Oryctolagus cuniculus: one gene and its partner. The protein of the gene in region 1 purifies or fractionates together with the protein of each later gene. This does not show direct contact. Links are inferred from orthologs where the notes say so. Each region holds a gene or a part of one and is shown in the gene's direction. Other genes may lie near its edges.

Evidence for each region.
Region 2: the proteins of IKBKB (region 1) and CASP8 purify together in Homo sapiens (affinity purification with western blotting; 3 studies listed by BioGRID and IntAct, with this or other methods). This does not show direct contact. The link is inferred for Oryctolagus cuniculus from reciprocal best matches to the Homo sapiens genes IKBKB and CASP8.

The regions. Positions count from the first base shown.
Region 1 is NC_091433.1:92,503,112-92,506,672, forward strand, and holds part of IKBKB (inhibitor of nuclear factor kappa-B kinase subunit beta), read left to right. Parts: intron 1-95; coding exon 96-203; intron 204-1,443; coding exon 1,444-1,573; intron 1,574-1,953; coding exon 1,954-2,148; intron 2,149-3,012; coding exon 3,013-3,127; intron 3,128-3,561.
Region 2 is NC_091434.1:38,736,328-38,740,392, reverse strand, and holds the start of CASP8 (caspase-8), read left to right. Parts: upstream 1-1,236; 5' UTR 1,237-1,454; intron 1,455-1,667; exon of another isoform or gene 1,668-1,718; 5' UTR 1,719-1,800; exon of another isoform or gene 1,801-1,971; intron 1,972-4,065. UniProt on the Homo sapiens protein: Thiol protease that plays a key role in programmed cell death by acting as a molecular switch for apoptosis, necroptosis and pyroptosis, and is required to prevent tissue damage during embryonic development and adulthood.

The DNA.
Region 1 (3,561 bases):
CGGGGGTGGGGGCGTGCGTTTCTTGCATAGTTACAGTTGACGAAGGTGAGCTGACCCTTGGCCACTGAGTGACGTGAGGGATTGCACGTTTGCAGGCACTCGAAAGTCCGGCAGAAGAGTGAGATGGACATTGTCGTTAGTGAAGACTTGAACGGTGCAGTGAAGTTTTCCAGCTCTTTACCCTACCCCAACAATCTTAACAGGTAAACACAGTGGTTTATTCTTCTACCTATTTTACTTCCTTCTTTTAGAAATACAAGTTTGAAAAAAAAAAAAAAGAAGGAAATACAAGTCTGAGATGACATCGGATAACTTAAAAAAAAAAAGTATTCATTTTTATCGGAAAAGCAGAGAGAAACACAAACAGGAGATCTTCCACCTGCTGGTTCACTCCTCAAATGCCTGTAATAGCCAAGGCTGGGCCAGTCCAAAGCCAGGAGCTTGGAACTGAATCCTTGTCTCCCACGTGTGTGGCAGGGAATCAAGTACTTGAGCCATCCCCTGTTGCCTCCTGGGGTGTGCGTTTAGCAGGAAGCTGGGATCAGGAGCAGAGAAGTGGCATCTTAACAACTCTGTACAGAACGTCTATCCCTGATAACTTCTAAATAGATTATCAGCATATCACCCTGGGACTAAACATTTGGCATCATCTCTCCAGTCGTCGGTTTAGAATGTATTCCCCTCCCTCATCTCCCTAGAAGTCCTGTTTTGCAGGTTCACAGAATCGTTTCCTGGTGCTTCTTAATACCACTCGTACTTCTGCCTTGTGTTCCTTCTGGCTTTGCACCAGGTTTGACTCCTGTCCAGTGATAACTCTTTTCAAGGTGGGGACTCACAGCTCATTCTGTTTGCACTCCTGTGGCCTAGTACTGTGTCGTAGTCGACAAGCCAGTCTTTGCAGTGTGAGTGGCATTGCGGTCTGGTCTCAGGAATCAGATTGTAGACAGTGGTTGATTTGGGGGCTGAGTTAGCAGGGCAGGGGAGATGGAACACGCACCTAAGTAATTAAATTGCTTGGAAATGTTTGTGCTTTTGCTCTCTGCTTAATCCAGTTTCATTTTCGGTAATTGTTTATTGGCTGCCATCTATGTAGTAGTAAGATGTAGCCAATTCCTTTAGAATGTTTTTATTTATATGAGAGAGCCCACATCCACTGGTTCACTCCCCAAATGCCCGCAGCAGCCAGGGCTGAAGCCAGGAACTGGAAACTCAATCCAAGTCTCTCATGTGGGTGGCAGGGACCTGAGTGCAGTTCTGCAGGGTGTGCCACTGGTAGGAAGCCGGAGCTGGAGGCCAGAGCCGCGAATCAAACCCCGACAGTCTGATAATGGGGTATGAGCACCTTCCTGGGCTAAGGGCTGCTCCAGGCTTGCCGTTGTAACCTGCACACAGAGGCGGCTGGCGCTGGCCGTGGCTCTCCCCCGACACCCTCATCCTTTGCAGCATACTAGCCCAGCGCCTGGAAAAGTGGCTGCAGCTGATGCTGATGTGGCATCCCCGGCAGAGGGGCACGGATCCCACGTACGGGCCCAACGGCTGCTTCAAGGCCCTGGACGACATCTTAAACCTAAAGGTGAGCGCAGAGCCGCACCCGCCCCGAGGCCACGGCCGGGCCCGCAGTGGGACGCAGTAGCTCGGAAGCAAAAGAATGCCCAGGGCAAGGCCAGTCAAGGTGGGCTGGCCCCTGGGGATGTTTAGGTTCCTGTGAGAGGGCTGTACACAGGGGAGAGGGCAGAACCCCTGTGCTGACTGATGGACATCGCTGTTAAGGGTTTTGCTGTGGACAGACAGGACTATTAAACATGAGAAGAGATGAAACAGGGGCCCCGGCTCCCCTTCCTCACAGAGACCCGCGCTCTGCACCGGGCAGCCTTGGGAGTAGCAGAGGGTCTAGGCAAACATGGGCATCCGTGGAGACCAGTTTTTTCCAGTAACATCCGGGTTGTGTTGCAGCTGGTTCACATCCTGAACATGGTCACGGGCACCGTTCACAGCTACCCAGTGTCAGAGGACGAGAGCCTGCAGAGCTTAAAGGCCAGAATCCAGAGCGACACGGGCATCTCCGAACAGGACCAGGAGCTCCTGCAGGAGGCAGGTCTGGCCTTGATCCCCGACAAGCCCGCCACGCAGTGCATTTCTGACGGCAAGGTGAGCCCCCGGCTGCCCGCAGACCTTCCCGGGGAAGCACCTCTCACTTTCAGATCGCGGCTGCTTTGTCACGCGGGCTGCCTTGTTCTTTAAGTGTGGCTCCCCCGTGCGGCCCGAATCGCTGCATGCCTCCCGTGTCGCTTCCAGACCCCTGGGAGCGGCCTTCTGTGCCGTTCTGACCAAAACGATGCTTTCTTTCTCGGGGTCAGCCTGCACTATCTATGACTACGTCTGTGCGAGGCTGTGTCACACACCACAGTGTTGGAAGGTGTGGTGTGTCATAAGCCAACAACAGAGATGAAGTAGACGCATGTGGGTGCGGGTGAGACGTTTGGCCTGCTGGTGAAGACGCTGGGTAACACCGCCTAACACCGGTTAAGGTGCCTGTGTCCCATGTTTGAGTACCTGGGTTTGAGTCCTGGCTGCAGCTCAAGTCCAGCTTCCTGCCACCTGCACAGGAGACCTGGATTGAGAGTCCCCAGCCCCCAGCTTTGGCCTTGCGCAGCCCCAGCTGCTGTAGACGTTGGGGAAGCAAACCTATGGAAGTGGGAAGAGGGAGCGCGCCTGTGTGCACTCCTGTTCTCCCCCAACTTCCTGTCAAGCAAAGCAAAGCTTGAGAAAGAGTCATTTGCATAGAGCAATGCTCAGTGAACTTGCAGGCTGCACGGGAAAGACCACCAGGGAGCTAGAAGGTAACACATTGTGGTCAGCACGCGCTCGGACAGGTGCAGGCTGGCATCAGCGGAGGCTTCTGGAGGCTGTGCCAGGGGAGCAGCAGGAGGTGCCCCGACAGCCTCGCCGTTAGCAGGTGGAGGGGAAAGGCTTCGATCTGTGACATCGCATTCTGTTCTTGTCTTTTTGCAGCTAAATGAAGGCCGCACCCTGGACATGGATCTTGTTTTTCTCTTTGACAACAGCAAAGTCGCCTATGAGACTCAGATCTCCCCGCGGCCCCAGCCTGAGAGCGTCAGCTGTATCCGTAAGAGCGTCGTTTGTTTGCCAAATGATCGGTCACAGTGCTTGGGACCAGACAGCAGGGAGGGGCTGCTCAGGGTGCCGCGTCTGCCCCGTGCTCGGGGCAGCCTTCTGTGCTTGGGATGTGCAGGCCGTAGCCCTGGCGGAGTCGGGGAATTGGTCAATTCCAGCCTCACGAGTTGGAGCTTTAAACACAGGACAGAGAGTACCACTGCCTAGAGCCATTTTATTTATTTGTGAAGCTTCACTTATATTTTTAGTAATTAATGTATGATCATGATACCCAAAACCAAAACCATGAAGTACAAGAGAATGAATATTCTGTGAGAAGTAGGCCGTGCCCTCTCTCCATGCCCCGGCCAGTAAGCTCACCCGGTCCTCGGGTGTCCCTCGAGGGCTTCGGGTAGCCTGCGGCGTGAGCGGTTCCATGCTGCCTCG
Region 2 (4,065 bases), on another chromosome or scaffold:
CGAAACTGATCGCCCGAGATGTTGAGGACGTTGCAGAAGGTCACACAGCTGGAAAGTGACAGAACAAAAATTGTCAAAGCTTTATTAGCCTAGAGAAAAAGCCTGAAACAAACAATGAAAACAGGAACAGTGGTGGCCTCAAGGAAGTATTAAAAAGCCCCCCCCCGGGGGGGGGGGCTGACGCCATCGAATAGTAGGTTAAGCCTCCACCTGCAGTGCCGGCATTCCATGTGGGCACTGCTTCAAGTCCCAGCTGCCCCACTTCTGAACCAGTTCCCTCCTAATGGCCTGGGAAAGCAGTAGAAGATGGCCAAGTGCTTGTGCCCCTGCCCCCATGTGTGAGACCTGGAAGAAGCTCCTGGCTCCTGGCTTTGGATCGGCTCTGGCTGTTGTGACCATCTGCAGAGTGAATCAATGGATGGAAGTCCTCTCTCTGTTTCCCGCTCTCTCCGTAATTCTGCCTCTCAAATAAATGAATACATCTTAAAAAAAGAGAGAGAGAGAGAGAGAGAGAGAGAGAGAAAGCCACAGGAGAGGCTTTCACTTTTAAAATCAGTACTGTGAGCGGTGCTGTGGCATAGTGGGTAAAGCCGCCATCTGTAGTGCCGGCATCCCATATGTGCTCCAGTTCGAGTCCCGGCTGCTCCACTTCCAATCCAGCTCTCTGCTATGGCCTGGGAAAGCAGTGGAGGATGGCCCAAGTCCTTGGGCCCCTGCACCCATGTGGGAGACCCAGAAGAAGCTCCTGGCTCCTGGCTTCAGGTCGGCCCAGCTCTGGCCATTGCAGCCATTTAGGGAGTGAACCAGCAGATGGAAGATCTCTCTCTTTCTCTCTCTCTGCCTCTGCTTCTCTGTAACTCTTCCTTTCAAATAAATAAATATTTAAAAAATTGGTACTAAAAATACACAAATAAATGTGGGGACAAATTTACTGCTTTTTTTCTTTTAATTTATTTGTAGGAAGGTGGGATTTGGGGGGTGGGGTGGGGAGAAGATGGGAGGGGAGTGTTTTCCATAGAATAACACTATTAATGCACGACAGATCTCAATGCCAGGCGTTGAGAAACAAATGCCCCAGAAGTGGTGAGAGCACACGCGGGTGAGCCCCGGGGTGGGGAGGGACTTTCCTGGCAGGGGTGGCAGTGACCTGGGCAAAGGTTGAGAGGAGGGAGAGTCCTGGGGTTCTGGCTCGCAGAGATCTGGGCGGGTCCCAGGGCTGGGTGAGCCAGGCTGAACTGCCTGTCTGCCAACCCTACCCAGTAGCTTGAGGAAGACGGCAGCCAGGAGCTGCCCCAGGGGCACCGTGAGCAAGGCCACTGGCGCGTAGGAAGCACCTGCGCGCTGTCATGGTGTCTATGTCTGCGGCCCACCGCCCGGCACCAGCCTTACCTAGGAGTCATTTCCACGTGGAAAGAGCGGGCCCCGCGGAGTAAAGGAAGCTTGTACATCCCGCAGTAAGTGAAGGGCACAGCCAAAATGTGAATGCACACCCTGCTCCTTCCGCCACACCAACTGCTTTCCAGATGGTAAAGGAAGAGCCCCCCCCCCCCACCCCCTCCAGTCGCCTGCTTCTGGGAGGCTGCCCCCAGCGGCTGACTCACAGCTGGAGGTATTTTCTCCATAATGGCTGTGGGCTTCTGGCCAGATCAGCAAAGGGAGGGGCTCACCGTCGGCATTGGCAGCCGCTTCCACTCACTGTCACTTCCTCTTCCTTCCAGGAGCAGCGTGGAAGGCACTCTCTTGCAGACTGTGTTAGGTTGACCCTGGCGGCCGGAGCGCTCAGACCTTGTGGACGCTGAGGTGAGCCTGGGATTTCCAGAGGAGCTTTGGAGGGCAGAGAAGTGATGGTTACTGCTGTCACGCTCCGTCCGGACACAATGGGCTGCAGGAAGTGGTGCCAACGGAGACCTACCCAGGCTCTCTTTGGTTCTTAGTCCGCGGCTGTTTCCTGCGTGCTGGAATCGTGGGGGCAGTATTTAGTCAAGTTCCTGATGCCTGTGCTGGGAGCTAATGCGTTGACCCCTAACATGTGTGTCCCCACAACAACGTAGGAACTGGGGTGCTGGGTAGGGCACACTGTTCGACGACCATGGGTGACATAGTGAGAAGTTCCCCTCTTGCTACCTCTCTGACATCAGAGGGGAGAGCCCATTGTCATCACTGTGTCATATGCTACGCCATCACATTATGTCTCAAAACACGCGAATTTTCCTTGTTAAAACAAAACAAAGAAGTGTGACAGCATCTGGCGAGAACCGAGAAATAATGTCACAATTTTCTTTTAATTTCACAGTTCCTTTTTTATAACACAAGCATTGCTCTTTCCTTTGTGCTAATAATACAAAATGCTCTTTTATGGTTCTTTTATTTATGTAGGTTGTTTAAGGAAGTGAATCCATTACAATTAGATAAATTAACAAATACATAGGAAAAGTGATAAAAATTGCTAAAGTCATTCAGGAGGGACCTAAGTGGGCAGATGGATGCCATTCATGAGGAGACACCAAAAGCACCCAGTTAATGATTCAGCTATAGAAGCCCAGGCTGTGTAAGGAAAGTTCTAGAATAATCCTTGGTCAGAGACTGGCGATTTTAGGATAATGTTGACATACTCTTTTACATCTGAGTCTCCCTGCACATGTTCTTTTTCAACCTGGGAAAATAACAAAGGGTGGGCATGGAATAGATTACTTGCGATAGTGCTTTTTCTTGTTGGATGCAAGGAATGGTTTCACCAGATCTTCTGGCTAAGCGAGAAGGAGACAGCACAGTCATTTACCAGTGGAGCGCGGGACGGCGGTCCCCCTACACCTCACGTCCCAGTCCTCCTCCTCGTACCACTTTATATACGGAAGGCTATCTTTTCTGGCATTCAATTCGATATTTTTATATAACATAATTGTCTCTTGATTAACGGATCTTATGTCACTCATGTCAAGGTTGTTAGTTGAGCTATAGCACTACTTCTTTTCTTTCTTAGCTTCTAGGAAAGGCACATAATTATGCCACATCGTGTGCATTGTCTATGTCTCATTTTAGTTTTGATTATATTTATTTAATTTCTACTTTGCAAGATATTAACTTCTGCACCTTTTTTTCATCCTTGTATTTTCAGTGTCCTAACTCTTGGCATGTTTGTTGTAAGCAGTGTGTTTTTTTTTTTTTTTATCTAGTCTCTTATTTTTTATGTAGTCTCGTATTTGATTTATTTTCACTTAATGTAACTATTGATCAGATTGGAATTAAATTTACTTATCTTTCTAGTTGTTTTTCTATTTGCAGCAATGGTTCACTTTTCTCAACTTTCTTGACTTCCTTTAGATGAACTAAGTAATTTTAAAAAGTTTAATTTGGGGCTGGAGCCATGGCGTAGAAGGTTTAGCCTATTCCTTTCCTAGTTTGTCAATTATCCATTCCTTTAGTAATCTCTTGGTGGTTGCACTTGAGCTGTACTGGCCGATCATATGGCCACTGGCCACATATCTGTTTAAAGTCATTTCAATGCGGTAAAATTAATACACAAAAAAGATACATACTTCAAAGGTATAATTTGATAAAGACATGTATATTACATGCATACAAAGGTGAAAAGTATCACCACAATCATGCTACTAATGTATACCCATTACCTCCAAAATACTCCATACACCCTTTTAACTTCTCACCTCCTGCTCCTCTATTCCTTCTAGGCATTGAGTACTGCTTTTAGCAGCATTTCAGAATTTTGATGTGTTTTGTTTTCCTTTTAATTCACAGTAGTACCCAAATTTCTTTGGATTTCTTTTCTAACTCATGGATTGTTTAAAAGTATAATATTTAGCCTTGAAATAGTTGGAGATTTTCTAGACATGTGCCTGTTATCCAAGCTGAAAACAACTTCCTGGCCCCTGAAAATCAGATAACCAATTCTCCAGAAGAATTTTATCTATACGCAGGTGCCTATGTCAGTGGTCATTGTCAGAATGAATTTCATGGCATTTGTGTTTTATAAAAGACTTATTTATTTGAAAGGGAGAGAGTGAGAGAGAGGGAGAGAGAGAGAGATCGTCTATCTATTGGTTCACT